Linked DNA regions of Coturnix japonica. The protein of the gene in region 2 purifies or fractionates together with the protein of the main gene of each other region. This does not show direct contact. Links are inferred from orthologs where the notes say so. Each region holds a gene or a part of one and is shown on either strand. Other genes may lie near its edges. The genes, in order: SKP2, cadherin-1 and PLEKHA7.

Region 1 (9,861 bases), on a different chromosome or scaffold from region 2:
TATGCAGAGCATAGAATCAGTCTCAGCACACAGTGTTTCTAATACTTACAGTGGACGCTGATCAGAAGAAAATATAAAGCCTGCTGCTTTGTTTCTTAGTGGAATAAATATTAGTCATGCTTCAAATTTACCTGATATTTGTAGGTTCTGTCTGTATCCACTTAAGTTCAGTTGGGTTACTTTTGAAGTAATGTGACTGACTGCTGTTCTGACATGAGTGGCTGTGAAGTCACACCAGGACAAGTTCAGCTCCTGCAACCTACACACAAACAAAGAACTGTTTGGAAGAGTAACTGAAATGGAAGTTTTAGCCTTAGAAGTATCAATGGTATTACATATACATAAGAACTCAAACTGTGGTACATCTACTACCAAGTTTCTGTATTAATTAATACGAGTTTCTCTATGACAATAATTAAGCACTGAAGCAAGTTGCCTAGATAGGCTGCAAGAAATTTGTAGAGGTTTCCAAAGCTCAGCTGGACAAAGTCCTAACCAGAACTGCGTTTAGAACCTGCTGTGGGCAAAGAGTCAAAGCAACTTCTCAAGATCACTTTCAATCAGAATGATTCACAATCACTGTAGGAAGTTAAATGGTCAAGGGGAGACACTTCATCTTGTATTTGGTTGGTGATATGAACCTGTTCCCACTGACCAGATCTTCACACTGAGAGGCAGAAACACAGATCTCCTACTATCACTTATTAGCATTGGTCAGGTGACCAATTACACTGTTATCATAAAATACTTTATAGTTTTATATATGCACTGGCCAGGTTGTGACCTTACCTCAACTACACACTCAGTAGCATATTACCAGTCATAGTACTGTTTTGTGTGCAGCTACAAGAGATGTAACCTGAGGACAAAGGCACAGTAAACAGCCTGACCAGAGCCTTTAGCTCGTTATGTAAATTTGAAAATACTGCTTTTTAAAGCAGATGGCAGACCTGATCTTTACGCACTGTGCATTATACAGATACTGCCTTTCTTTAAGAAGCTCAGCATCCAAGTAATCAGATCCAGCAGCAGTAAGTATTAACTACCCAGAGCAAGATTAAGGTTTTGTCTGTCCACTGGGCTACTGCAGTTTGATTAAAAATAGTATTTTGCAGAAACAAATTGAGTAGCTTGTCCAACATCTCACAGGAAGTCAGCAAAGAGATCAGGGTGTAAATCCCACATCTACTGAAGCTCAATTCAGTGACTTTTGAGAGCAGCTGGTTTAATCGCTAGACCCATCAATCTGAACACGGTGCATCAAATACTGAAGAACTGTTCTACCATGGATGGAAGGGCACAATGTTTTCTGCCATTCATACTGTTCTCTGACTGCATGGGGAGCTCTTGTACTCCGCACTCAGATGGTATCTTCCACAAACTTGTATGCTTTCACACTGTGAGAATTACATATTGCTTTCATTAAGAAAATCAAATGGATATACATGGGTTTTTAACCAACCAAGACCTCCTTTAAGGATGACTAAAGAGACTCACAAATAATTACTGAAGTATTTCTTTGCTATTAAAGAAGAAAATAGATTGATGGAAAGAAATTATATAAGTATTCAGGTAATAGCCAACAGTTAAGCATTTGAGAACATAGTAAGCCACATAAGAAACACAGTGACAGACAAATACAGTTGGAATGCTTATAAAAAAAACAAAAAGGACAATTCCTCTCAGAAGTTAAGAGTAAGTAGGAATAGCAAACACTATTTTTGTCTTACATAGTACATTTGCTTAACATCAGCTCCAAGGCTTCTGCAGAAAATCCTGAGCACCCACAAAGATTCAGTCGTATCAGACCGGGATTCTTAGCAATGCTCCTGTAGAAGAGAAAAAAAAAGAGAAGTCTGATAAAATCTTGGAACTTCGCTTTTATTGCTAAGATACACGATAATGTTTAAAAGTGAAGATGTTGTGCACAGGTTTGTTGCATGTTCAACACTGTATCTCTAGTAAATTGACCTACTAAAAGAGTCACTAAGGATCTCAACTTCCTGCTGCATCACAGCACAACTTGATGAAGAACACTTGTCTGTTTAAGCGCTGGTCCAGACATGCTTTTGTATTTCTAAGCCAAACTAGACAGGAAATAATTCCTCTTCAACTTCTCCTGTTACATTTCAATGAACAAACACCATGGCCTATTCAAAATCATTTTACCTCTACAAAAGACTAAGCGATCTCCCTATAGCACTTACTAGTGAAGCATTGGAACAGGTTGCCCAGAGAGGCAGTGGATGCCCCATCCTTCCAGACATTCAAGGTCAGGCAGAATGGGGCTCTGAGCACACTGTTGTAGCTGTAGATGTCCCTGCTCACTGCAGAGCAGTTGGACCAGATGACCTCTAAAGGCCCCTTCCAACTCAAATGATCATATGACTCAATTAGATGGAGTCTAATTTTTCAGATACTTTTTTCAGTGAAGGTCAACAAAGAAATGAGAAACAGTACAGAAGCACACAGAGCATCAGGAAGAAGAGTTGCTGGAACTCCTTAAAATACAAAAGAATATGTACACTAAACGTGAACGTGCCCTGGGAGCATAGAAATCACTAAATAAAAGTAGTTCTGCTCTGCAGCTCACAAGCAGGAACAGTAAAAGGACACAACTGCCACAGAGATAAGCAGTTTATCAAGCTTCCAAGAACCCTGAGAAATTTCAGAAAAACAAAAATAAACAACAAACAACTGTTCCAGAGCAGTGTTTCTTTCCCACTTGGTCTCTTGGACAGGTGAGAAAAAGGCAGCTTGTACAACCTGCCGGCTAAATCCTTTAAATGGCTAGAGCTGGCCATTTCAAACAACTCCCACAGGGGGCAACAACTGTATTCTGTCCCTAGCCTGCACAAAAGAATGGCACTGAATGTAAGTTATTTACAGAGCATCCCCAAACATTTCACTCACTTCATGATATCATCAGAAAGCACTAGTCCCTCCAAGCTTAGGTTCTCCAGTCTCTCACAACGACAAAGAATGCTCTGGAGATCTGCAACAGCTACTGTGCAATTTGACAAATCCATGTGTTGAACTCTGAGAGGCCTAAGAGATGGGAAAGCATGGTTAATAAAACCGCACCAAAAAAGCAACTACAAATTCCACACACCATAAATCCAAGCAATACTGAGCAAGTGTGCAAAGCTTATAGAGAGCAGTTGTATTTGTGAATTTCAGCTGCACACTGTGTAGACTGTTAACCTTGCTGGCTGTACTAATAACCCACTAGCCAAAACTCTAGAACTTTTATCTTTCTGGTATTCACAACATCTCCAAATCTACCCTGCTGGAGCTAGACTGACTTTTGAGGTTCACATGTAAAAATGCTGACAAGGCTCACATTTCTTGGTTCTATAAGAAATAACTTGCAAGAGCACAATGGTGCTGGAAGTATACTTCCAAATACCATGTTAGCTTATTTCTTAATAACTGACTGATGAATACAGCTCTTACTTCAATATATGCCTAACCACTGATCAGCTATTCCACACTCCACAGAGATGACAAACGCTAATACTGGTGAAGATGTTAAAAAAAAAAAAAAGAAAAAAACAGAGAAACACTGAAGATTTGAGACAGTTCCATGACTCAGTACACAGCGAAAGCCTTACTTCATGGTTTTAAACAGTGGATTCCCAATACAAGATCTTGGGCAGCGGAACACAGTAACTCCTGCAGGTAGCAACTGTCCAATAACTCCTGGCAGCAGACTTCTGCAATTCAGATCAAGAGTCTGCCAGAGAGATTCATCAAACCTAGGGAGCAGAATTTGCTCATTAGCAAGGAAAAGTCACACCTATGTGTACAACTACAGAAACTTTCCAGACTCCAAAAAGACTGAGGAAGAAAAACCACCCAGGACAATTTCATAATGATAAAATAATTGAGTTATAATATATAATAGACTGAATAACACTTGACCACGTTAGATGGAAACCAAATCATTTATCAACCTATGGAAGCAAAGTTCTTCTTAGCATTAAGTGACGAGAAGTAATACTTACGACAGACGATGCCACCTCTTACAAACCATGGAAACTTTCAGCAAGTCATTCAAGGGCAGATATGCAAAGATTGCCAATAGAAGTTCATCTGGAAGTTCATCCCAAGAAACACCTTTAGGGAGAGTGAACACGCTCTAGTTAAATCTGGCTCATTTTTGCCTGCTGATGCCTTATTCAGTTTGGTTGCCAGAAGGACCACTACAGTATGTCCCTGGACTCTACATACTACTCATCTCTCTTTCACCTCTTCATTTTAAGAAATATACTTCAGGAAATGAGAGCATTTCATCTATTTCATTTGTATTCGAAGGCTTGTATGTTTCCCCAAGTGCAGGAAGGGAAAGACTTTTCTAGACAGACATCTCAGGACTTCTTGTCTCTATACATCCCTGCTGAAATGCCCATCCTTGCAACATACCTTACACCCCAAGAAGGGCCCTAAGTGCTCTTCAAAACATCTCTCAGAATCTGTTTAAGTTTACTGTGCGTAACCCCAAATTCTCACATGCAGATACAGTGCAAGTGCTTCTGTCTGCCCAGGAAAAAACTGTACATGTTGGAGCTTCCAACAGCTGCCTGTGACCCAGAGCTCATTCATCACTGCTCTGAGGACTGAATCCTTCCCCTGCCAGCCCAGAGCCTCTTTCCAGTAGGGACCCTTGCACCCATTACAGTCCAACCCCAATGGAGTGGAGGGGCTGCTCCTTGGCACCCTGAAGTGAAAGATGCACATCTGGATTCTCATAGTCTGGAGGGCTCAGTTTCTCAGTTTTAAGATTTCTATATACAAAATTCAAGTCCCTGAGTTTCAAAATTATATTGGGGATGGGTACAGCAATAACTTCTGTTAATTCAGCAGGGTAAATGAAGGCAGGGCTGCCTACCAGTACCTGGCTCTGCCTCTCGGAGCAGACGAGGTCTGCGCACGATGACAAACTCCTTCTCCTTCACCTTCAGCCGCTTGTGGGGTGTGCAGGCCGGCAGCAGAGGCTCCTGCGGGGTGTTCTCATTGCCCAGCCTGTCCTTCTTCAGCACCGACACCCCCATGCCTGACAGCAACTCCGAGGCCTTGCTGGAACCCCAGTCCCAGCTGAAGCCAGTGGAGACGTTGCTGTCGGAGGAGGGGATCTCCTGGAGATGTTTCCTGCAGGGATTGCAAGACTCGGGTGAACCAGAGCTCTGCGAGACCACCGCCACGTTCTCTGGAAGCCGCCGCGAAGTACAGAGAGCCCCGTAGCAGAGAGCAGGTCTCGCTAACAACACATATCCCCACCTAATGCAACAATACCCACTAAGAAAAGCTTAACTTTAACCCCATTAGAGCGGGGCGATCCCTCAGCTCACATCTCGCCTCACGCGGCCGTTGGGCGCCAGCAGCGCGCGGGCAGCGTGTGGAGAAGCAGCGCGCCTCAGCGAGCCGGACCGCGCTCCTCACAGAGCCACACGCCCCACAGCCCATCTGCCCCCATACCCCGCCAAGCCACACGCACACACCCCCATCCCTCCTCCCGGTTCGTATTCATCCCTCCCCGCGGGTGCTGCTCCACCGTACCTGAGCATGGCTGCGGACGGCAGAGCGGCACAGCCCCGCTGAGCGGCACAGCCCCGCTCCTCGCAGCGCCCTGCAGCCCGCGCGCCCGCCCGCCAGCCTCGCACCGTCCCGCGCATCCCCAGCCGGCCGGAAGCCGCTGTGCGGGCGCTGCCGGGAGTTGTAGTTCGCTCCCCGCATCCTGTGCCCGCCTCCCGGCCGGGGGCGGTGACAGCGGCGGCGGTGACGGGAAATGTCGGCGGTGCCGGGCCCCGCGGCGAGGAGCGAGTCGGGCGGTGCTGTGTGTGTGGCGGTTTGAGGCCTCGTTTGGGGAGAGGTGGCAGCGAGCATGGAGGGCGGCCCAGCCCCGCGGGACGGCGGCTGCTGAGCGCGGTGAGGGGCGGCGCGGGCCGCAGCGCCGAGTCACGGGCGGGGGGAGCGCGGACGGGCTGGGCCCGGCCACAGTTCCTGTGTCTGGGCTGCGCCGAGGGCTGAGGAAGGGCGGGATGTGACGCTTGTTGTTCGGCTTTTTAGCCCATTTCGGTTGTCTGATTTTCTCCCGAGGAACACGGGCTGTGTGTTGCAGAGCGCACTTCGCTGTCTCCGCTCCGGGCTCCGCGGCCGGGCTGTGTCGGCGCTGTGTGGAATCCGGCCCCGCGCTCAGCTCCTCGCAGTGCTCACAGGGCCGTGCCCGCAGCACCGCGACGCGTGGCACATGGGGCCGGAGGGATAAATAAGGCGTCGTTATGATTTCAGTTCTGATTTTCTGAACAGGCCGTCTGTCTCACTGCAGCATTATGGTTGTAACCACACGGAGACCTCCTCAGTGACACCTGTTCTGTGTGAGCATCCCCAGGCAGGCCAACATTACAAGTTTTGTTCTGGGTTCATCCTACGGCTGCACGGCTTTCTTATTATACATCGTAGTGCCTCCCTGCTGCGTGTTCTCTCTGCTACTATTTCCAGGGTGTCATATGCAAAGACTAAATGTTTAGTTAGTTTTAAATCTTGTTTACATACATTATCACAAAATCATAAAGAGGCAGGGGTTGTAAGGGGCATTAACCCAGTTCTAATCCCCCTGCCATGTGCTGGTTGCCTTCACCAGCTCAGGCTTTCCAGGGCCTCATCTAGTCCAGTCTTGAGCACCTCCATGGATGGGGCACCACAGCTCTCTGGGCAGCAGTGCCATCACCTTACTACCCTCTGAGCAAGGAATCTTCTCCTAACATCTGACCTAAATCTCTTCTCTATTAGTTTAGAGCCATTCTCCCTTGTCTGGTCGCTATTGGACCATGGAAAAAGTTTGTCCCTCTCTTGCTTGTAAGCTCCCTTCCTGGAGAGGAGCAGGCTCTGCAGGGCATCAGTAACAACATCAAGCTTGATAGAGTTCAGGAAGTGTTTGGACAACGCTCTCAGACATATGGTCTGGTTTTTGGGTGGTTGTGTGCGTAGCTAGGGGCTGGCCTCAATGATCCTCGTGGATCCCTTTAACTCAGGATATTCTGTGATTCTGTACTTTCCAAGATAATTGAAATTGCAGGTGCTAATACAATACTAGTTGGTGCATGGTTTGATCTCTGTTTCTTGGAAGAACAAAGCTATGCAGATTGCACCTGTTGGTTCATTTCAGAGATTATTTCTTCCGGGTGGTGCAGTAGGGTAACTGCGCTGGTCAGCTTCATGGACAGCTGAAGGCCTGTTTCTTTCTGTTGGTAGTTTTGTCAGTGCTAAGAAGCTCTTCATCTGTCATCTGCTTATCTGATCCCTGTGGTGCAAGGGTCAGTGTGTACTATGGAAGCTGGGAGGAAACAAAATAAAAAGACAAACAACAGACTGAGCAGAGCTGAGTATGAAAGTGTCTGAAGGGGTTGTTTTTCAGCGTGGTGTTACCTTATCTTCCTTTTAGTGTTTATAAAACATGAGATATTCCACTTTATTTTTTAAAGATGAAAGTTTCTAAAGCTTAGGGTTAAGCACTTATATTGGTGCAGAGGATTTAGGCATGTCTTTGGGATTCTTACCAGACAGTTTAGCAGAGTAGGGCAGGCATCAGAGCCCTGTCACAGGTGTTATGGCAGACACTTTTTCTTTTGCCAAATATGCTGGAACACCCTTGTTGACGGCTGGGAGATGGCTGCCATAAGGGCAAGAGCTCACCATGGAACTCAGCACTGATAGTGTGCTGGAGGTGGCTGCTTTCTTAGCTGTGCTCCAGAGCTGTGGAATCAGCTTGAGGTGGGAGGTGCTGTTTCACAGATGCTTTTTCCAGTATGCTTCAGCTATCTTCGATGTTGTTCTTTACAGCATCTCTTTCACGCTTCATTAACTTCTTTGCTGGGCCTTTCTTCACAGATGTGCACTGCTATTATTAGCCCTGCCTTGGATTACCTCTGTTATAAAATTGAGTGCTGTTTAGAATCTTCAAGAAACGACTGGGTTGTTTTTGTGCTGTTTCATCTAGTAACACGTAATTTCTGTGCCAGGCTGAGTGAGCAGTTAGTTCATTTGTAATGTAAGTACCCCTGGGCTTCTTCAGTCTCCAGGCTGCCAAGGTAATTTAAGACATGGTGGTAGGCAGTCTCTGAGGTAATTAAAGTGTGAACTGCCCCTTTTAGTGTTCTTGCTAAGTCCTTAGCTGTGTTTGGACCTTCAAAGATTTCCTGTAGCAGTTTTGAAACTCCTGTCCTGTATGGGGATACCCAGGTTCTTCCATTCATAGGATTCAAAACACGTGGTTCTAGTCCATGTCTAAAACAAAACAGATTTCCATCTAAATTGCAACAAGTTGAGGGTGCTTTATCCTACAGTGATGGAGTGTGTCAATAGATACTCTTCCTCTCAGTGATAAGTTTGTTACTTCTTGTAATTAGAGGAAAAATAGGAAGTTCCGCACAAATGTGCGCAAGAACTTCTTTACAGTGAGGGTGACGGAGCACTGGAACAGGCTGCCCAGGGAGGTGGTGGAGTCTCCTTCTCTGGAGATATTTAAGACCCACCTGGACGCCTTCCTGTGTGACATGGTGTAGGGAGCCTGCTTTGGCAGGGGGGTTGGACTCCATGATCTCTAGAGGTCCCTTCCAACCCCTACAATTCTGTGATTCTGTGATTCTGTGATTCTGTAATTGCTTAACAGAAAGGTGAGAGCAGAAAGAGCTCTTCTGAAGTAGTTTGCTGATCTCGGGAGAAAATTCTCCAGGGTTCAGGAATTTTAGCCAGCTGGTTCAGGGGAGTGCTAGTAGTTGAGAAACATGATTGTGGGCAAGCATCTTTCTGTAAACTAACAGCCAGCTTCAGAGGTAAATTCTGTTTCCCACAGGCAAACAGTAATATATTCTAAGTCCTGATTCTATTAGCAAGGGTCCCAGGTATGGCTGTCCTCCTAAGAAGATTTTGTTCACAGCAAGAGCTCCACTCAAGAAACGTGTTTCTCTCTTTGCAGGACTTTTTAAATTTTATTTTATTTTTTCCCTAGAACTACTTTTTACTATTTTCTGTCTTATAGTTTTTGAACCAAATCTTTGAAAGTGAATTGAAGCTGTGCAGGTTCTGTTCTGTTGTAGGCTATAAACTATAAATTCCCTCTTGATTTTAGTGTGTTCAGTACAGGCTCATAACATTTTTGAAATCTCTGGGTAAGAACTGAGTGCGTCATCTCACACACAAAATTTTCATGTTATGTATTGATTGCAGCTCCTTAGGTGTGACTGTAGTAAAAAGTTCTATAGGTATGACTCATGGAGCGTATGATGTATAATTTTAATGCATAGCATGAGGTGTGGCTATGATGGGCATCCAAAGCTGCATTTGTCAGACAGCTCTGCCTTAATTAAACTGGTTTTGAGTGGGGAAGAAATGCTCTGTTTTAGTGGAATTTGCTCTTATGCTATAATGTAAAAGACTTCATTTTCTGAGGAAATGAGAATAGTACAATAGAATACATAGAATGAGCTATCAAGAAGTAGATTAGATATATTGAATTTGTGGATTATAAATTAGCCGTCCTAAATGCAGTACAGGCAAATAGTAGGGGGATGTTTTGACTTGATAAAATTACCAATTATTTGGTAAACTTATTAAAAAAAGTGGACAGAACATAGGAAATGAATGTGTACAGCTTTCATAATATACAAGAAGGCAATTCAGCCTACTTTCAGAATATGGGGTGCTCTGTATAACAGATGTCATGAAGTAAATAGGCTGCTTTCACTATCTGGAAATTAAATGCAGAAGGAACAAAATGGGGAAGAACATTTTGATGGAAAATCAAGTTAAGCAGGGTAAACATTTTGTTTATTTTACTGTATGAAGTGTTAAGGATCAGAA
Region 2 (9,861 bases):
ACCATTGAGAAGGAGACAGGTTGGATGAAGGTGACGCAGCCGCTGGACCGGGAGCACATTGACAAGTACCATGTAGGTCCCTGCTGTGGGGCGCTGGGTTCACCCCCATGCCGTGCTGTCTCCACACTCACCCCTCTGCCCTGCAGCTCTACTCCCACGCCGTGTCCGAGAATGGCAAACCCGTGGAGGAGCCGATGGAGATCATAGTGACGGTGACGGACCAAAACGACAACAAGCCCCAGTTCACACAGGAGGTGTTCCGGGGCTCCGTGCCTGAAGGCGCGCTGCCAGGTGGGGCTGTGCTGCATGGGGGGCTCTGCCTCCTGCAGGATGTGTCCTTCTTGGGGGTGCGTGTTCCGTACCCAACCCTCTCACACAGACCCCCCCCCCCATTGCCCCCCAGGCACTTCGGTGATGCAGGTGAATGCCACGGATGCTGATGATGATGTGGAGACCTACAATGGTGTCATCGCCTACTCCATCCTCAGCCAGGAGCCGCGGGAGCCCCATCCCCACATGTTCACCGTCAACCGCGCCACCGGCACCCTCAGCGTCATCGCCAGCGGCCTCGACCGGGAGGTGGGACCCTGCCCGCAGGGCGACCCTGGCAGTGCGGCTGTGGGTGCTGATGTCTGTCTGTCCATTGCAGCGCGTGCGGGAGTACACGCTGACCATGCAGGCGGCCGACCTGGACGGGCAGGGGCTGACCACGACGGCGCTGGCTGTGATTGAGATCACAGATGTCAATGACAACGCCCCGGAGTTTGACCCCAAAACGGTACCGTGGCCGGGATGGGGGCAGGTTATGCCAGGTGCTGTGGGCTTCGTGCTGACCTTTCCTAATCCACAGTATGAGGCGGCTGTGCCAGAGAATGAAGCTGAGCTGGAGGTGGCCCGGTTGGTCACCACGGACCAGGATGAGCCACAGACACCAGCATGGCGTGCCGTGTACTCCATTGTGCGGGGCAACGAGGGCGGTGCCTTCGCCATCACCACTGACCCTGCCAGCAACGAGGGTGTCCTGCGCACGGCCAAGGTGAGCATCCCCTGCTTGTCCCTGTAGCACAGCCACCAGCCCTGGGCAGTGCTACCCATCCTGTTCCCTCCCACAGGGTCTGGACTACGAGGCCAAGCGGCAGTTTGTGCTCCATGTGGCTGTGGTCAATGAAGCCCCCTTTGCCATCAAGCTGCCCACAGCCACAGCCACAGTGACGGTCAATGTGGAGGATGTGAATGAGGCTCCTGCCTTCGACCCACCGCTGCGGCTGGCCCAAGTGCCAGAGGATGTGCCGCTGGGGCAGCCCCTTGCCTCCTATACAGCACAGGACCCTGACAGAGCCCAGCAGCAGCGCATCAAGTGAGCAGGGCTGGGTTGGGGTCACAGAGGGATCCCTATTGCCATGCCCCGCAGGACCAACCTACTGTGCCCACAGGTATGTGATGGGCAGTGACCCCGCGGGCTGGCTGGCCGTGCACCCTGAGAACGGCCTCATCACAGCACGGGAACAGCTGGACCGTGAGTCCCCGTTCACCAAGAACAGCACCTACATGGCCGTGCTGCTGGCTGTGGATGACGGTGAGTGTGGCGGCTGTGAAAAGGGCCCTTGTTCCCACATTCCCATCAGGCTGCAGTCCCACGTGAGGGACATGTGCTGCTGGTGTCACGGGGGCTGCGTCCCGCTCAGCCCCAGGGCAGGGAGTGGTGCCTGCGTTGCCCACAACGCCTTCTGCCAGCATGGGAGTCCTGCTGCCGAGGGTCCCTTACCAGCCCCACTCCTCCCTGCAGGATTGCCACCCGCCACAGGCACTGGCACGCTGCTCCTCACCCTGCTGGATGTCAATGACCACGGCCCTGAGCCCGAGCCCCGCGACATCGTCATCTGTAACCGCAGCCCTGTGCCCCAGGTGCTGACCATCACCGACCGGGACCTGCCTCCCAACACCGGGCCCTTCCGTGCAGAGCTGAGCCACGGCTCTGGGGACAGCTGGGCGGTGGAGGTTGGCAGTGGAGGTAACGTGGGGACTCGAGGTGGTGCTGCACTTGGTCCCACGTGAGCCAACATGGTGAAGTCAGGCTTGTCACCTACCCCGCACAGGTGACACCGTTGCCTTGTGGCTGACGGAGCCCCTGGAGCAGAACCTGTACAATGTCTACCTGCGGCTCTTCGACCGCCAGGGCAAGGACCAGGTCACTGTCATCAGAGCACAAGTGTGTGACTGCCAGGGCAGGGTGGAGAGCTGTGCTCAGAAGCCACGGGTGGATACCGGTGTGCCCATCGTGCTCGCCGTGCTGGGCGCTGTGCTGGCCCTGCTGCGTGAGTGCCCAACAGCTCGGAGTGTGGGGGTGCTGCAGGGATGTGGCGTGGGGATGAACCACTGATGCAGCTCCTCTCCTGCAGTTGTGCTGCTGCTGCTGCTTCTCCTGGTGAGGAGGAGGAAGGTGGTGAAGGAGCCGCTGTTGCTGCCTGAGGATGACACGAGGGACAACATCTTCTACTATGGGGAGGAAGGTGGGGGTGAGGAGGACCAGGTGAGGCCCAGGCCTGGGGATGGGGGGTAAAGCAGTGCTCCCTGTGTGTCAGCCTCATCCTGCTCCATCCCCACGCAGGACTCACGAACCTGATGCCAGCTGCACCGCGGCCTGGACGCCCGCCCTGAGGTGATCCGCAATGACGTGGCCCCCACCGCTGATGGCCGCCCCCCAGTACCGCCCCGGCCGGCCAACCCCGATGAGATCGGAAACTTCATCGATGAGGTGAGCCCGACCGTTCTGCCGCCGCACTGCTGGGCTGCCCACAGCGTCCCCATCCCATAGGGCTGAGCGCGGGGGGAGCAGCGGGTGAGCCCTTCCTCTGCCCTCCTACAGAACCTGAAGGCGGCTGACACGGACCCACGGCCCCCCCCTACGACTCCGCTGCTGGTGTTCGACTACGAGGCGGAGGTCGGAGCCACCTCGCTAGCTCCCTCAATCTCCTCCGCCTCCGACCAGGACCAGGACTACGACTACCTCAACGAGTGGGGCAACCGCTTCAAGAAGCTGGCGGAGCTCCTATGGCGGTGGGGAGACGATGACTAGCCCCCAACCAGCGCTGCTGCTGCCCAAAGCCTTACCCTGCCCGTGCCTTGGGGCCGCGCTGCCCTCTCCTGCACTCCCTGTGCTGTTTGAAGCAGCCTTGGCTTCCTCCTGTGTGTTTCAACTTTTTTTTTTTAAGCAACTATGAATTTGATGTAGTGGGGTGGTATCAGGGTGGTACCGTTGTGGTACCGGGGTGGTATCAGGGTGGTACTGTTGTGGTACCAGGATGGTACCAGCGGGCTGAGCTGGGGCTGTAGAAGTTTTAGGGAAGTTTTAATAAAGGATGTGGTTTTCCTTTTTCCTTTTTTAAGACCCTTCTCTGTCTCGCTGTGATTCTGTGCACCCCAAGGGCTCAGAGCAGACCCCCCTCACCCGGGGCTGGCTCAGCCCCATCCCCTGTGTGCAGCGATGGGGAGTGCAGGGAGCAGCGCTGCCCATCCCCAGGGCTCTGCCCGCTTGGCGCTCAGCAATAAGTGCATTAAACAACTTAACTGCGTTAACCACGCCGGCTGAGCACGGCGCCTAAGGGGGAAATGGAGCGCTGCTGCTGCCGTGCCACGGCCAGGGCTCGGCTTCTGTCCCAGCTCGGTACGAGCAGCCCCAGTGTCTGTGTGCAGACTCTGCCCCGCTGCAGCCGCGGGGGCGGCGGTAGCACTGAGTGTCGCTGCTCACCCCGGCCCCAGCGCAGCGCCGCAGTTCGCAGAAGGGACCGACCCCGCCGCCCCCTCGTCCCCCCGTGGGCCTCGCGCCCGTGGACGGCGCCGTGGGACGGGGCGGGCGGGACGGGGCGGCCCCGGTGAGGCGGAGCGGGGCGGGGAGGGGCCCGGCGGGGCCAACACCTGCGGGCGGGGCGCTCCCACCTGCGCTTGGCGGAGGCAGCGCTCGGCAGCTCCGTCCGCGGCGGTACCGGCCCGGTCCCTGAGCCATGGGCCGGCGGTGGGGTTCCCCCGGCCCGCAGCGCTTCCCCGTGTTGGTGCTGCTGCTGCTGCTCCAGGTGCGGGGCTGCCGGGCGGGACGGAGGGGACGGAACGGGACGGAAGGGGTCGGGGCTGACACCTCTCTCGGGCAGGTGTGCGGCCGGCGGTGCGACGAGGCAGCCCCCTGCCAGCCCGGCTTTGCTGCAGACACCTTCACCTTCAGCGTGCCCCGGGACAGCGTGGCGGCGGGCAGGGAGCTGGGACGAGGTAGGAGCACGGGGGTGGCTGGGGGGACAGAGCTGTGGTCGTGGGGGTGGGTTGGGTGTGCGCCACCAGAGGTGATGAGAGACACGGGAACAGGCTCAGCGTGGTACCGAAGGTGGCTGGTACCAAGGACGAAGGTGTTCCTGTTGGGACGGGTTCAGTGCGTGGCAAAGTGGCATAGAAATATGGTTGGATGGGGGGCTGGGTGCGTGGCACCGAGGGTGGCCATGGGGAACAAAGCCATGGCTAAGTGCCCGTGTGCCCTGCGTGCTGTCAGGGCCGGCTGCACTATGTCCAGTTCAGTGCTGGTGGCCATGGGCACACGGAGCCGTGCCTACGTGTCCCAGCTCCACGAGCAGCCCGGTGGTGCAGGTGCCGGGGCAAACAGGGGCAGTGGGCGCCTCTCCCAGCAGCACCGAGGCGGGCGGCGCTGACTCAGGCAGAGCTTGTTGGGGCCGGCAGGCTGGGTGTGGGGCATGGAGCCCGGCCCTGAGCCTGTGCTGAGCCCACATCCCAGCACCCAGCACACATCAGCACCCAGCTCACAACAGCACCAAGCCCACATCCAAGTGCCGAGCGCCCGTCCTGGTGCAGAGCCGTGCGTGGGTGCGGGTGGTGGTTCTTAGGAAGGGTGGCTCAGGAGTTCCAGTCTGAGTTTCGCCCACGCTGGGGAGTATCGGGGCTGGGAGCTGAACCCTGCACTGTACCAACGCATTCCATGTTTGTGAACTTTCTGTTAATCATTTACCCGGGCTGTGCAGCGCCAGCAGGCTGTGCCCATTGGGGCAGTGACTGACATCAGGGTGACGGGCAGCTGTGTGCCAGGCAGCACTAACCCAGCACACAGCGATGGCTCCCAGCTGGAAATCCCCGCTGCCGAGCACCAGCACTTCCCGTCTGGGGCTGGGGACAGGGGGGGTGTGTGGGAGTTGGGCGTCCTGTCTGGGTCTGCCCGCGCGTGCCAGCGCTGCTGCCACAAAGCCTGACCACAGAGCATCCTGCCGTGCCCTCCGTGCCGTGCAGCCTTTCAAAAGCCCCATCTGTGGCTCAGCACGAGCAGCGTGATGAGCTTCCCTGTAATTACCCGATGAGCCGAGCGCTGTGTTTGCAGTCAGACAGGTCTGGATTGGCCCCGCACAGCGCTCGGGTGGTGAACATCAGTGGGAGCTCCAGGGGCTGGTGGGTGCAGCTCTGGGCTCCCCAACGGCGCTGCAGCTGCCTGCCTGATGAAAGGGCTTGGTGGAGGAAGGAGCAATTTCCTCCATGTTAATGCGGGCTGTAAAAGCTGCACGGCACGATGCTTTCTGCTGGGTGCTGGGGCTGCTGCTGCCCCACACCCCAAGGGAAGGACAGACAGCACCTGCCCCGCATCCCTGGGGCTCAGCTCAGCCTCACTTACTGAGCAAAGGGTCCTAAGGGAGGGGATGGGATGGTGGATCCCAGGCAGGAGCTCTGAGGGAGCCCTCGGCTGTGTGGGTATGGCACCTTATGGGAGGAACACGGGTGTGCAGCCAGGTGTGACGCTTCCCAGTTGCGTAGGTCCCGGATCAGCCCCAAATGGGAGAAAACCGAGAGTCTGAAGTCACGGTGAAACTCGGTGATGTCAGGCCCTGGCAGGACGTGTGGCTCACTGCGCTCTTGCAGCACTTTCACCCTGGCTGCTCATGGCTGACGTGTGCCTCTCCCCGCCACCAGCTTCCGCCCCGGCACAGCCGCACTTGCACAACCTGCGTGGGGATGGGGAAGAACATTGGGATGGTGGCACTTGGCTGCGCCTGTGACTCACCCTGTGCCCAGCCCCAGTGAGACACTTTCCTGTGTCGCAGCAGAATGGGGGTAGCTTGGTGTCCCCAGGTCCCAGCCCAGTGTGGAGGGCTCACCTCCCCACCCCAGCTTTGAGCCGGTAATTCGCTGGTTTGGGCCCCACGGCCAAACGCATTTGAAGGTCCAGGAAATCAGTGGCACTCAGTTGCCTCCCGCAGTGCAGGAGCCCCTGAGCTCGACCCCTGCCCCACGCCTTGCCGAGGCCCCATTGGCTCAGTGCCCCGGGGAGAATGGAGCTGGGAGGGGCTGGCTTTCAAGTGTGGAGCTGGAAAAACAGGTTGTGCACGGCCGGGCGCAGAGGGGGAGATGGGGAGAGGGGGAGAGGGGGAGCTTAGCAGCGGTGCGGGGCCGGGTGCTGTGCACGGTGCGCTCCGCCGGCCAAGTGCCAGGAGCCGGGTACCCGCAGGGATGGGGCACCTCCCCACTGCGAGCACACGGTGCGGGAGCGCCCGGCGTGCCCCAGCACAGCCCTGCACAGCCGGTATCACCGGCTGGCCCGCCTGGGTTGGCATCGCCCCGCAGGGAGCGCGGCACGGCGGTGGGCGAGCAGCCCCCGGCCCAGCTCTGCCATTACCTCCCCCTCGATGTTGTCTCTGAATTCCTGGGCTGCCTGCAGGCTGATGTAACACGGGACGCTGGGACAGGTCCCGGCAGTGACGGCCGCCCCTGGGGAGCCCAGCTCCGTGCTTCCCAGCCCGGGCACATTGCTGGGCCATGGCGGTACCCCGCGTGCTGTACGGCCATGTGGGAGCCAAGGCTGTGCGGGTCAGGGGGACCCCGGCTGAGTGCTGCCGGCTCAAACAAAACATCCCCAGACAAAGGAGCGTTTGTTCTGGCAGCTCCAGCCATGCGGCCCAGCCTCATGTGATGCTGCTGCTCGCTGCTGAGCTGCGCGGTCCCCCCCAGGCTGTCCTCAGCCCTGGTATGCTGGTCCCTGCTGTGAGCACTGCCAGACCTGCATGGCCTGTGCTGGAGCTCACACTGTGACCCAGCAGGGTGACTCCGGGGTGTCATCTGTCCCAAAAGAACCCCAAGCAGCAGAGGGGATGGAGCTCTGTATGGATACCTGGGCAGCAGGGGTGCCCCAGCTGCTGTCTCACGCCCTTGGGTGCACCTTCCCCACTGCACAGACTCATATCCCAGTTGGCTGCTGGGGTGGCCACGTGCCAGCGGATCTGAGCCAGACACAGCCCTTGTTTTGATTTGAAAAGCAGCCGGAGCAGCAGCACAGCACCCTCAGCCCACAGCCACGGGCAGGGCAGCAGTGGTGTGCCACACGTTGTGCCATGGAGGCATGTTCTGTATGGATGCACCATGCCCACATGGCAAAGATGGAGAACACTGAGGTTGGGTATTAGGAGGAATTTCTTTGGAAGAGTGGCAGTGTGTTGGTATGGGCTGCACAGGGGGTGGTGGAGTCAGCGTCCATGGGGGAGTTCAAGGACTGTGGGGATGTGGCACCAAGGGATGCGGTTATGGGCATGGTGGGGTGGGTGGGGGATGTCTGCAGTGTTTCCCAGCCTGGATGGTTCTGTGATGGTACAGTGGATCACGCACAGGCTGCATTGCACACACTGCAGTGCACAGGGGTGCTCTGTGCCTGGGCTCTCTTGTGCATGCAGTGGTGCATGGGGATGCTCTGTGCATGGTGGGGTGACCCTGCCCACGCTTTCCCCTGCCCGCAGTGAGCTTTGCAGCCTGCAGCGGGCGGCCGTGGGCCGTGTATGTCCCGTCTGACACGCGCTTCAAGGTGAACATGGAAGGCGTCGTCTCAACAAAACGGCCACTGACGCTCCATGGGAGGGAGATCAGCTTCATCATCTACGCACGGGATGCCACGGGCAAGAGGCACTCAGCACGGGTGACTGTGGGCAGGCACAGGCACCGCCGCCACTACCACCACCAACACCTGCAGGTGAAGTCCCCATGGTCATTGCAGCCCAACTGTTTCGGGCCAAGAGCAGCAGGTGCCTCTGGGCTGCTCTGTGCTGCCACAGGCACCAGGATGAGCTGCTGTTCCTGCAGGACATGACACCGTCTGTGCTGACCTTCCCCGAGCATGACTCCGGCTTCCTCCGGAGGCAGAAGAGGGACTGGGTCATCCCCCCCATCAGCTGCCTGGAGAACCACCGGGGCCCCTACCCCATGAGGCTGGTGCAGGTACGGGGCCGAGGGCTGAGCGTGGTGTCACTGGGACGGGCACCAGCCCCTGGGTGTCCCCTCTCAGCACCCTGCCTCGCCGCCAGATCAAATCCAACAAGGACAAGGAGTCCAAGGTGTACTACAGCATCACGGGGCAGGGCGCGGACAGCCCGCCCGTGGGCATCTTCATCATCGAGCGTGAGACGGGGTGGCTGGAGGTGACGGAGCAGCTGGACCGGGAGAAGATCGATCGCTACACCGTGAGTGGGGGCCGTGGGGCGGGCGGGGCCGTGCGGGGCCGTGGGGCTGACGGTGCCCCCCCCTGCAGCTCTTCTCCCACGCCGTGTCAGCCAGCGGGCAGCCCGTGGAGGACCCCATGGAGATCATCATCACGGTGATGGACCAGAACGACAACAAGCCCGTGTTCGTCAAGGAGGTCTTTGTTGGCTACATCGAGGAGAACGCCAAGCCAGGTGTGGGGGCTGGCGGGCGGGCGGGGGGCCGGGAGCCCCGGGATGGAGCGGTGCCGGGGGCGGCGGTGCCGCGTCCCACCAGTGACGTCTGCCCGGCTCTTGGCTCTGCCCAGGCACCTCCGTGATGACCGTGAACGCCACGGATGCGGACGATGCGGTGAACACGGACAACGGCATCGTCAGCTACTCCATCGTCAGCCAGCAGCCGCCCAGCCCGCACCCCCAGATGTTCACCATCGACCCAGCCAAGGGCGTCATCAGCGTGCTGGGCACAGGGCTGGACCGGGAGGTGGGTGCTCTGCTTTGCGCCCCACGGTGGGTACAGACCCGCACACAGAGGGGCGCTCTGTGGGGTGCTCTGTGGGAACGCGGGGCCTCTGATGCTGTGACCTCATCTTGCAGACCACTCCCAACTACACGCTGATTGTCCAGGCCACCGACCAGGAGGGCAAGGGTCTGTCCAACACCGCCACGGCCATCATTGAGGTCACGGATGCCAACGACAACATTCCCGTCTTCAACCCCACCATGGTACGTGCTCCCCCACCCTGGCTGGCTCTCCCCAGCTGCTGCCCTCCCCAGGCTGCCCATGTGTGACCATCCCTGTGCCCTCTGTGCAGTACGAGGGGGTGGTGGAAGAGAACAAGCCGGGTATGGAGGTGGCCAGGCTGACGGTGACGGACCAAGACGCACCAGGCTCCCCAGCCTGGCAAGCCGTTTACCACATCAAGAGTGGGGACCAGGATGGTGCCTTCAGCATTACCACCGACCCCAGGACCAACAATGGCATCCTGAGGACAGCCAAGGTGGGTCACGTCCCTGCCAGTGGCCCCAGAGTGGGTCATGTCCCCATCGGCCCCACTACCACCTCAACCCTTCACCCCACCCTGCAGGGCCTGGATTATGAGACCAAGAGCCGCTATGACCTGGTGGTGACGGTGGAGAACAAAGTGCCCCTGTCTGTGCCCATCACACTCTCCTCCGCCAGCGTCCTGGTGACTGTCTTGGACGTGAATGAGCCCCCTGTCTTCATGCCCCCTGTCAAGAGGGTGGAGGTACCAGAGGACCTACCAGTGGGGCACGAGGTTACATCCTACACGGCCAAAGACCCCGACAGGGACATGAGACAGAAAATCACGTGAGTGGGGGCTTGGCTGGCAGAGAG
Region 3 (9,761 bases), on a different chromosome or scaffold from region 2:
TCTGAAAAACGATTTCTTGTCACATTTCCTTACCTTCAAATTCAACTCCCCCACAGAGCGATTTATATATTTATTGTACAGCTACTTGAACAGCTCATCCTGCCTCTTCAAAAACAACCATTATCATGCAAACAGAGGATTTATCAGCTATAATAAGTATAGCCTTACAAGGTACAGAACTGGCCAGGCGAAGAGGATGGATAAATGAAATGGAAAGACAACCTGAGTAACTGGAGAAAGAAGCTTTAAACCCAGACCTTCACACCTGCTTCAGTCACTCTGAGGTATGTCTAATGTCAGAAATGTCTATATGCACAAATGTTTCTTGTCCCAGGCTGAAGGAGCTAGTTTGGATATAACAAGTGATTCAAAAAGCTCTGGAGGTCTCAAGGAAACATCTGCTGGCGCATATTTAGCCAATTGTCATCAAACACACACAGACTGTTACCCTCTGCGTAGCTTTCCAGCCACTCTGCCCCAAGCCTGTAGTGATGCATGGGGTTGTTGTGACCAAAGTGAAGGACCCAGCACTGGGACTTGCTGAAGCTCATAAAATTGTCCTCAGCCCAGTGATCAGTCTGTCCAGATCCCTCGGCAGGGCCTTCCTACCCTAAGGTAGATCAACATTTCCCCCCAGTTTGGTGTTGTCTGCAAACATACCAAGGGTGAGCTCCATCCCCCTCATCCAGATGATAAATAAAGCTATCAAACAGGGATGGCCCGTTTAGTCAAAGTGCTTCCTAGTCTAGAAGTCTTCCTACCGTTAACAATTTCATAGACTTCCCCTCCACCGTGCCGTTATACACAGCACATTACCTGTCTTACACTTGCTATGTTCCTCCCTTTCCACTAGATGGCTCAATTGCATTTCAGACAAATACTGAACTCAGCAGAGCTGGAAACAAATCTTGCCCCGGGAACAAGTCACATGAATAGCCAGCAGAACGTTTTCTGCCATATCAACATGAAGAGTAAGGCAGCTCTGTGGAAATAACTTTTACTTCTTAGCAGTTTCTTATTTTAAATGCTCTTTATGTTGTCGTCTTTTTTTGCGTAATTCTCATAAACATTGCCTAACAACCACTTTTCCCTATAAAGCCTATATATTTCACAAGGCAGAGCTAACCATCCCATTTTTTCTCTCCACTAGAGCATCATATGAACACAAACCCTACAGACACCCCAAGAGCCAGGCCAGAAATATGCCTCCTTTTCAATACCCAGAAGACTCCTTTCAGTTTGAACTTCCAGCTCACATTTGAAATAAAAGATGAAAATTAACTACATAAAACTTAAGGTTAACATCAGGGGGAATGCAGTAGGAAGCAAATATATGAGTGTTACCTCTCTGCTGATGTCTAAATCATAGTCTTGGGGCTCCAGGTCTGTCTCTGTCACCGCTACTGCTACCGGCTGAACTTTTAACCATTCATTTTCATCCTTGTCTTCTCCACGAATTGCCCTCTCAAGTAGCTGCAAATCAAATTCTTGCTCTCGTTTCCACTGGCAATAGATACAAAACAATTAATAGCATTCAACTGTACTGGCAAATTCAACATTCAGCAGTGTACATAACTGTGTCTGCAAAAGCTATTTTGCTGAGAGAATCCACAGCGCAAACTCTTACAACTGATAGAAAAAAAGAAAATGCTGCTGTATTTCTTGCAACTCTTGTCTGGGAGATTTCATTTCTAGCTATGCTGCATGGATTTCAGAGTACTGTTTAATTTTATACACAGTGTGCAACTGTATTAAAGTATATCACAAGTATTAATCTCATATGCTGATGAACGTGGTACCAGCACAAACATCTATGGAAGTACAGGTGTCAGTACAAGCAAGCCTGCAGTGCTGGCCTTGCTCTAGGTATTCTGACCAGGCAGTGCTGCAACACTGTGAATTACTAAACAGAAAGGACATTGATACTGCAGGCTGAGAATTGCTGCTTGTTAGCTCTACATGCCTAGAAAAAGACTTAGCGATTAATGCTGGTATTTTTAGTACTAGCATTGACTTGTCTGAAATTCAAACACAATAAATGTAATAACTTTTAGGCTACTTTACACTCCATTAACCTTAGCTACCTGCAAAAATTAAGAATTTTATACATCCTCCTTACAAGATAAATATTCAGCAAGAATACAGTAAGAGCATAGTTAAACAGCATAACTTTAAGAGCTCCCAGATTATTGCTTAGCAGCTCCTTCACAGCTACTCACAATACAGCTCCATATAAACTCAAGCTTAAGAAACCTAACAGTACATTTGTTCATAAGAGACAAAAAAATTAAGCTCTGTTGCAGCATCATTCCACCCAGCAGATCTCAGTGACTTTACCATACAGACTTAAAATGGATTAAAAGCAGCAGGGGAGAAAAGGGATAAAACAGTAGAACGATCTCTTGAAGTATTTAAGGCTATCAGTAGGAGAACATGCCATTACATTCAATACAAATGTTTAATATTTCTATTACATATCTCTGGCTTGTTTTGGTTGAAGTCTGAAATCTACATGAAGCCCTTCGCCTCCATGATGCTACTTGCATTATTAAATCCACTTGAAACCTATTCATGCACAAGCTCTCGATATTCACTCAAAAGATACGTGTCCTCTATGTATATTTGGAAAGTTAATGTACCTGAAAGGTCAATTTCATCTCAAAAATTAAGATTTTTATTTTTTTTTTTAAGATTTCAAAAGGAGAAAAAAATGTTTTTATCATTCTCCCTCTCAAGACTTCTTATTCTACTCATATTCGAACCAGGCCTGATTGACATAGTCCATTTCAAATACACAGTATCATTTTCAAATTGTGTTATGTAGGTAAGAAAAACATCAAACCATTATTACAAAGCAAAATTTTTATTGGCTTTGATGTTGCAACTTTTACATTAAAAAGGCATTGTATATAACAAATGCGCTGATGTACTGTGATCCATACTTCAAATGCCATTCTACACTTGCGAGCTGACTGATTAAAAAGTCGAGTTACACATACAATGCATGTTTTAAGCAAATGTTACATACTGAGCAGCATTTCAATTATACATTTAACTGTTTGCCATTTTGGCTGCTAAATAATTGCAATGCTGTAAGTAATTGTGCTATTGAACATGCTTCTTGCGTTTTGAAGCCCTGTAGGTACAAGATATGATCTCTGCAAAACACTGCTAGGGCTGAAAGACTCAATTCTTTACAGCAAGAAAAAGACCAAGATGGCACCCAATTTATAGATGAAGTACTTGTCACAAGTGTTAATAAGGAGTGTCACAAAAATGTTTAAATTCAACTTGCGTATGTTACGTTAGACTTGGGAAACATTAGAATCTCAGATTTAGTTCTTCTAATTAAGATATGAAAATAAAGGTTCTGCTATAGTTCCATACTTCCCAAGTATGACGTACTGCCTTGAATAACTTTGTGATTGCAAAACAGAAGACAAAATAGATGGGTGTCTCTAGAGTTGTGCACTCATATTTACTGGGAAAGTAAATATAAAGAACTGGCTGTAAAACAGCGTTACTGAGCAGTGGGAATGAAAGGCTGAATATTATAAGGGGTGGTTTAAATGCCAGCAATTGACACACATGTACTAAATGCAATTAAGCCTGGTAAAAATTGAGTAGTCCAGTTAGAAATTTTAAAATAACTACAAAATTCTGCAAATTAAAAACAAAACAAAACGAACAAACAAAAAGAGGCATTAGGTATGATGAGTGACAAATCTAAAAGCAAGAGATCTTGTGCAATGAATTAGGTAAAACAAGGTGACTGTTCTAAAGCTCTAGTGGACCAAATGAAAAATAAATTAAAAGGCTACAGCGTAAGTGCAATTACAGTACAATCTTGGTTTAGCACCAAGTGAGCAACTGGGTAGCTTCACCAATTAGAATTGCTTTGGTTAGTATCCAAAACATATCATTACAAACTTACATTCTGTACAGCATTTAATCTCAAAACACAACAAAAATTCTTTTTCTTCAGCAGCTTAAATTTGAGCCTTATTAGAATATTCTACATGTTGAGCTTTAAAGGAGGACTTGCTGCAACCGAAACCAATTTGATTCTAAAATTCTACTAAGCGTGGATTAGGTTTCAAAACTTATTATTCATTTTTCCTTAAAAACAAACAAGAAAAACCAACCACACAACCTGCTTGGCCTGATATCATCACAACTATCTTGCAGCCTTATTTGTGAATTTAAAAGAAAAATAACCATGGTGAGTAAGAACATTCTAAAAGGCCCATTCCATTATGAAGCAGTTTGAAAATCCTAGAAGTTTCTTACACTTTCTAAATACAGTGCTAATAAAAAACAATCACATCTCTGAATTCACTCTAACAGAGCCTCACCTCCACTCAGCACACGGACCTCTGACCAACTTACCTGCCGAATCTGCTACATACACTGTAACTACTAGTAAAAAATGACCATCTGTTACTTGCACTCTCTGAACTCATTTTATACTGTATAACACTGATTTAATTATACTAGAAGCATCACACACGCTCAAGTGAAAGTGCTTGCTAAGAAAAAAAAAAAAATCCAAAGACATTTCTAGTTTAGTCCCTTTAAGGCATATCTAACATACTGAGCCTATGTCTGCAGAAATGGGCCTGATGAAAGACCGAGATGAAACAGACTGCCTTTCTCCTTGGCTAAGGGTTCTCTTGCGTTCACGAACTAATGCCTTCTGATGCCGTTTCATTCTTTCTAGTTGTTCCTCTGCACTCATCTTGCCTCTTTGGTGGTCTCCAGAGTATAAACGTTCCAAGGCACTCTTTGGTCTCTCCTGAAGAAGTTACAAGGCACACAGAAAATGTGCTGGAATTAATAGTTTATAAGGAGCATACAAATAAACAGCATCTTTCTCCCACCTTATTTCTAACAAAGATGATTTTGCTCTATTGCTTTGTATTAATTTGAATATTTCAACATTATAATATCTATTAATACAGATGATTTTGATTCCAAATTTTGTTTTTATAAATCTATTAGAAACATAGTAAGTCATCTTTCTACTTCCTGACTCATTCAAGAGAATTAGAAAATAAATAGTATTAGATCATTGGAGATGGGACCTCTCCCATGGGACTAGAATTCCATCTCCTGCTGTACAATATGTGCTCTGGATTTAAGAACAATTTGGAAGATCAAGACAGTAGTCAGTAGTCTTCAGATGTCCTTTTAAAACTTACCTTGGACCTATCCCTTCGAAGAGTTGCATATGATGAAATGGTAGATGACTGGTGCAATCTGGAAGTTGATCCAGATAAGCCTTTATAAGGAAAAAGAAAATGCTTTAAAACCAAAGGGACAGACAAAACAAAGATGTGCCAGATACTTTTTTTCCTGACGATATTCTCATTATTTTAGTTCACATTTCACACTTTTTTCTTTAGCTCAGAATGCCATGAGGAGCAGGAAATTTCATTTCAGCCACAGCTGATCCATTTCAGGTCACTACTGATCAAAACACAGAAAAATCTACTATGTTTTAAACATATATTAAATGAAGCATGAGGTGAATTCAGCTGCGCAACAACAGATATGCTTTACAAATAGTCACATCTATGAAGAAAATCAAACCTTAACAGTGTTTAGGAGCTACAGGGATTCAAAAACCAAACTGACTACTTTTCCCCAAATATCCTCTCTAACCTCACCTCATGGTGAAATGACTTTAGCACTGAGGTCCTACTGACAAGTCACTTGTAGTGTTTGGAGGCATTAAGTTTTTATTCTTTAACATTTCATTGACTCCCACAGGCAATACATGTATTTTATAAAAAAATTAACTCGAGTTTATAAACACAACACAAAAATAAGGAAAGGCAACTCCGAATACAGGAGATATTTGAACAGCTAATTGCATTGTTTTGCTATGGTTTCTGTTTCTTTGCTTTTAAGAATTACATATGAAGCTCCTTTGCCAAAGGGTGGTTATCCATAACAGCACCGTTAAAATCACAGATTCTCTACAACTTCACAGCACTGTACAGTTAATTTAAAAATAACAATGTCAAGAATAAAATAATCTCCAGAAAATCCTAGGAGAGAAGCTCCTATACCAAAAGTACTGTAGAAAATCATCTACGTTAATTCCTGGCTTACCACGAGTAGGCAATGTCTGGTATCCGCTATCAATGGTTACAAAACCACTGGAAGGTTGGTTGAGGTCACCACCTATCATTGCTAGTTCTGGTTCACTCACATATGAACGCAGTTCTACCTGTGTGGAAAGATATTTACTGGTTGAAATGACATCATGACAGCAAGTCTTAAAACAAATCCCAGCAATTTTGTTTCTGGATTAGTGAGTCTGTCTCTGCTGTTACTATTACATACAGATCTCTTCCATTTTCTGTCTCTCCCCTCTCATTAGAAGATCTAGCAGTATACATATTTCACAGACACTATCATCTGTTATTGGTTCACATGTTCCTTAAAGCGCAGATGGTGTATGAGTGCTCACCCTATAATCTCCGTTTACATACTGTCCCAGTTCTCTGTCTCTCTTTCTTTCATCTGACTGACGTTTCAGGCCTCGCACTGACGTATGTCTGATGACGGTGGCTTCTCTTGGGAGTGGTGGAACAGCTGGTGGTTGATCTTCAGGACTGTATAACTGAGGGAGAGGAGGTCTGGGTGGTGCTTCATCTTCCTGGTCAGAGGAAAGCACAGGTATATGGCAAACAGTCTGGAATAAACTGTCTGAAAGTTCATAACATTATACAAATTATTTATGATTGCTTTACCGTGCTCTTCTCTGTCCACCAGAAGCTTGAGTTCTTATAAGCAAACAAGACCCAAGAAAGCAAACAACCAATGAACCAAAAGGCATTACCAAAGAGCAAAGAAGGCTCTTCTGCTTTGGTATGTTCTGAAACAGTATATAGCTACTTGAGTAAACCTCTAGGTTACAAACATAGGAATAGAGGAAACGACCTCAAGTTGCAGCAGGGGATATTCAGGTTGGATGTTAGGAAATAATTCTTCTCCAAGAGTAGTCAAACACTGGAACGAGATGTCCAGGGAGGTGGTGGAGTGACCATTCTTGGAGGTGTTCAAGGAACATTTACACTTTGTACTGAGGGACATGGTTTAGTGGGCAACATTGGTGATAGGTGGACAGTTGGACTGGATGATCTTGGAGGTCTTTTCCAACCTCAGTGATTCTATGATTCTAAATACTCTTGTGTATTTGTTGCTGCACTGTTTGATTACAACCCTTGGGTGGCTCCTGCTGTGCCTCCACATTGCATGCACTTAGCAACCATGAACGCTTTCTGCTAGAAGCAAACAGAAACAGCAGAGAACAAGGCTCACAGTAACAGTACTTACAACCTTTGGCATTAGCCTAACTGGCGACTGAAGAGGCGGCTCAATTTTTTTCAGCTGTGGTACTTGTTGCTGTGTTCTGGCCTGGAAATAAGGCTGTGGGTACAGCCTCACCTCTAGGGAAGGTTTGACCTGGCTGGACGGAGGGCTTTGTGGAACTGAAGGTTTGCTCTCCACGGTTGTGAGAGAAGCTGGTAAGGAAGGCACTGTAGACTGAGAAAATGAAGGCACTATTTTTCTTTCTAGGGGAGAAATATGCACATTTGTTAGATGCTGTGTTTCTTATATCTGTCAACAATGTTCATACAAATAGAAATCAGTATCACTAAGCTTTAAAAAACAGCCCTAATACTCTGCACATTATTTTCAACACAAATTGAGTTTGTTTGTTTGTTTTAATATAAAAATCTATGACTGCTAGATTAGGCAGGGGTGGGAAACATTCCCTTAATGAGGATCAAATAAGCCTTCAAGGCTAAAAATAAAAATATACATTAACATCATTCAATGAAAACCCTTGTTGAGAGGCAACAGGAGAAAAGGAGAAGTCCACACATCATACGCAATCGTTACAATGGTTGGATATGGCTCCATACCTCAGAATCCATCAGATGGCTACAGAGCTAGACATGACTAAGAACCAATAGCCACACCTTAAATAAAACATAATCTCACCAAGAACAATTTAATCTCTGAGCGTAAAAAGGTAAGCAAAAATAGACTCAAAATACAAGATGAATTTACAAGAGGCATTAACAGCCTCTTGCTTTCCCAGAATTCTCCTCTTTCATTCGAAACATCATAAAGCAATCAAAATGCAGACCACACATTCTTTTCCTTCTTCTATTCCATGGCTGATGCTGCTGCTCTACCCACCAAGCAACTGGAGCAAGGGCAGTCAGGCAGCATCCAAGAGGCAAAAAAAAAAAGCAGATGAGTACAGAGAGGAGCTCCCAGATACCATACAGAACAGATACTACTTTGGTATGACTCTGGTGTACGTGTGAAACTGTTTCTTTGACCTGCATAACTTATCCCACTGCTATTGCTCTCTTTTTCTTATGGCTTGTTATGCTTCAGTATGTCAAACAGAAAAACACACACTTTTTTGCTGGCTCAGCCAAAGAAACACCAAAACAATGTGTTCAAACTGCAGATTTCCAGTGCAGACATTATCAGAATTAACTATGCTGTCTGCTCTGAACATACCTCTAGAGTATCCACATAGACTCAAAAATTCAACTGTATTTGAAATATTTTTACATTTTAATTATGTTCTCTTTACCTGGATTCTTGATGGAGTCTACTATGGTTTTGTAATTTGCTTTATTTGCACTCAAGCCAGCCGTAACATCTTCAATTCTCCACAAGTCCTTCTGTATTTGTGTTTTCTCCTGATAGTTAAAAAAACAACAACAACAACAAAAAACTTTTAAATTTACGATGCATTTATCCTTTTGTTACCAAAACCAAAGTAACATTTCAGAACTTACAGGCATAGAAATTGGTTACACAACTACTTTAAAATTTAAAACAAGCGAAAACCACATTACCCACAGATCAACGTATCTTGCACACAGACCCATAGAATTTAGAGCTTTCCCTGAGTCTCAGAAGATTTCCTAAAGATGACATATAGAATGAGACATCTCTATACTGTTCTCTACAATATTATTCAGGCTACAAAATCCTGGTTCTATATATAGTGAGTTTATAGTGCCTTTTAAATTGAACTAGTTTCTCAAATCCTTTAGCGCACTTTAGGATGCTAAGGTAGCATTACAAAACTCCTCTTCACAGATTTAGAGGAAATGCCCAATATTAGAAGAAAAAATATATGAGTGTCCACGAATAACGCTATACAATCGCCTAAGAACATGCAATGAATTAAATATACAACCAAAACTAAGTGAGAAGGGATGACAAACTTAATTCTTTCTATGCTTGGGTGGTTAGGGCTACTGGATATGATGCATTCTTTGGTTTCAACTTGTGTCCTGTTTGTTCTACTAATTCTTCCCAACAGGCAACAATGGGAAGCTTTCTCTAATGTCTGGACTCTGCCTTCGTGTATCTTGTGGCTAGAGGCTGTAGCTACTGAAGCCATCACTTCAGATACATGTTTATTGCAATCATCAAAAACCACAGATGTAAACAGCTATTCAAGGCATGTGGATTTTTGTTGTTTCCTTTCCTTTCCTCCCCCCCCCCCCCAGACCCCAGATTATAAGTAATCTTGTTAATTTACTGTAATTTGATATTTTTCCTAAGGAATTGATGCCTAATAACTCTTCCTTAAAAAATAAATAAATAAAACAAAATAAAAAACAACAGGCACTAAGAAAAAAATTAATAGTATTGTTCGTTTCCCACGTGGTTTTATAAAGGCAGAGGGCTGTGCAACACTGTTGTTAGGA

The links.
Region 1: the proteins of cadherin-1 (region 2) and SKP2 purify together in Homo sapiens (affinity purification with western blotting; 3 studies listed by BioGRID and IntAct, with this or other methods). This does not show direct contact. The link is inferred for Coturnix japonica from reciprocal best matches to the Homo sapiens genes CDH1 and SKP2.
Region 3: the proteins of cadherin-1 (region 2) and PLEKHA7 purify together in Homo sapiens (co-immunoprecipitation; 3 studies listed by BioGRID and IntAct, with this or other methods). This does not show direct contact. The link is inferred for Coturnix japonica from reciprocal best matches to the Homo sapiens genes CDH1 and PLEKHA7.

What each region holds. Positions count from the first base shown.
Region 1 is NC_029547.1:10,063,655-10,073,515, reverse strand, and holds the start of SKP2 (S-phase kinase-associated protein 2), read right to left. Parts: upstream 5,703-9,861; 5' UTR 5,676-5,702; coding exon 5,560-5,675; intron 5,152-5,559; coding exon 4,898-5,151; intron 4,120-4,897; coding exon 4,008-4,119; intron 3,759-4,007; coding exon 3,615-3,758; intron 3,049-3,614; coding exon 2,914-3,048; intron 1,830-2,913; coding exon 1,731-1,829; intron 260-1,730; coding exon 132-259; intron 1-131. UniProt on the Homo sapiens protein: Substrate recognition component of a SCF (SKP1-CUL1-F-box protein) E3 ubiquitin-protein ligase complex which mediates the ubiquitination and subsequent proteasomal degradation of target proteins involved in cell cycle progression, signal transduction and transcription.
Region 2 is NC_029526.1:16,822,748-16,832,608, forward strand, and holds the start of cadherin-1, read left to right. Parts: upstream 1-3,930; 5' UTR 3,931-4,001; coding exon 4,002-4,070; intron 4,071-4,145; coding exon 4,146-4,260; intron 4,261-7,766; coding exon 7,767-7,996; intron 7,997-8,106; coding exon 8,107-8,241; intron 8,242-8,327; coding exon 8,328-8,483; intron 8,484-8,551; coding exon 8,552-8,696; intron 8,697-8,809; coding exon 8,810-8,985; intron 8,986-9,098; coding exon 9,099-9,227; intron 9,228-9,316; coding exon 9,317-9,834; intron 9,835-9,861.
Region 3 is NC_029520.1:15,653,809-15,663,569, forward strand, and holds part of PLEKHA7 (pleckstrin homology domain-containing family A member 7), read right to left. Parts: intron 8,739-9,761; coding exon 8,630-8,738; intron 7,587-8,629; coding exon 7,348-7,586; intron 6,668-7,347; coding exon 6,479-6,667; intron 6,236-6,478; coding exon 6,118-6,235; intron 5,282-6,117; coding exon 5,202-5,281; intron 4,796-5,201; coding exon 4,595-4,795; intron 1,504-4,594; coding exon 1,345-1,503; intron 1-1,344. UniProt on the Homo sapiens protein: Required for zonula adherens biogenesis and maintenance. Acts via its interaction with CAMSAP3, which anchors microtubules at their minus-ends to zonula adherens, leading to the recruitment of KIFC3 kinesin to the junctional site.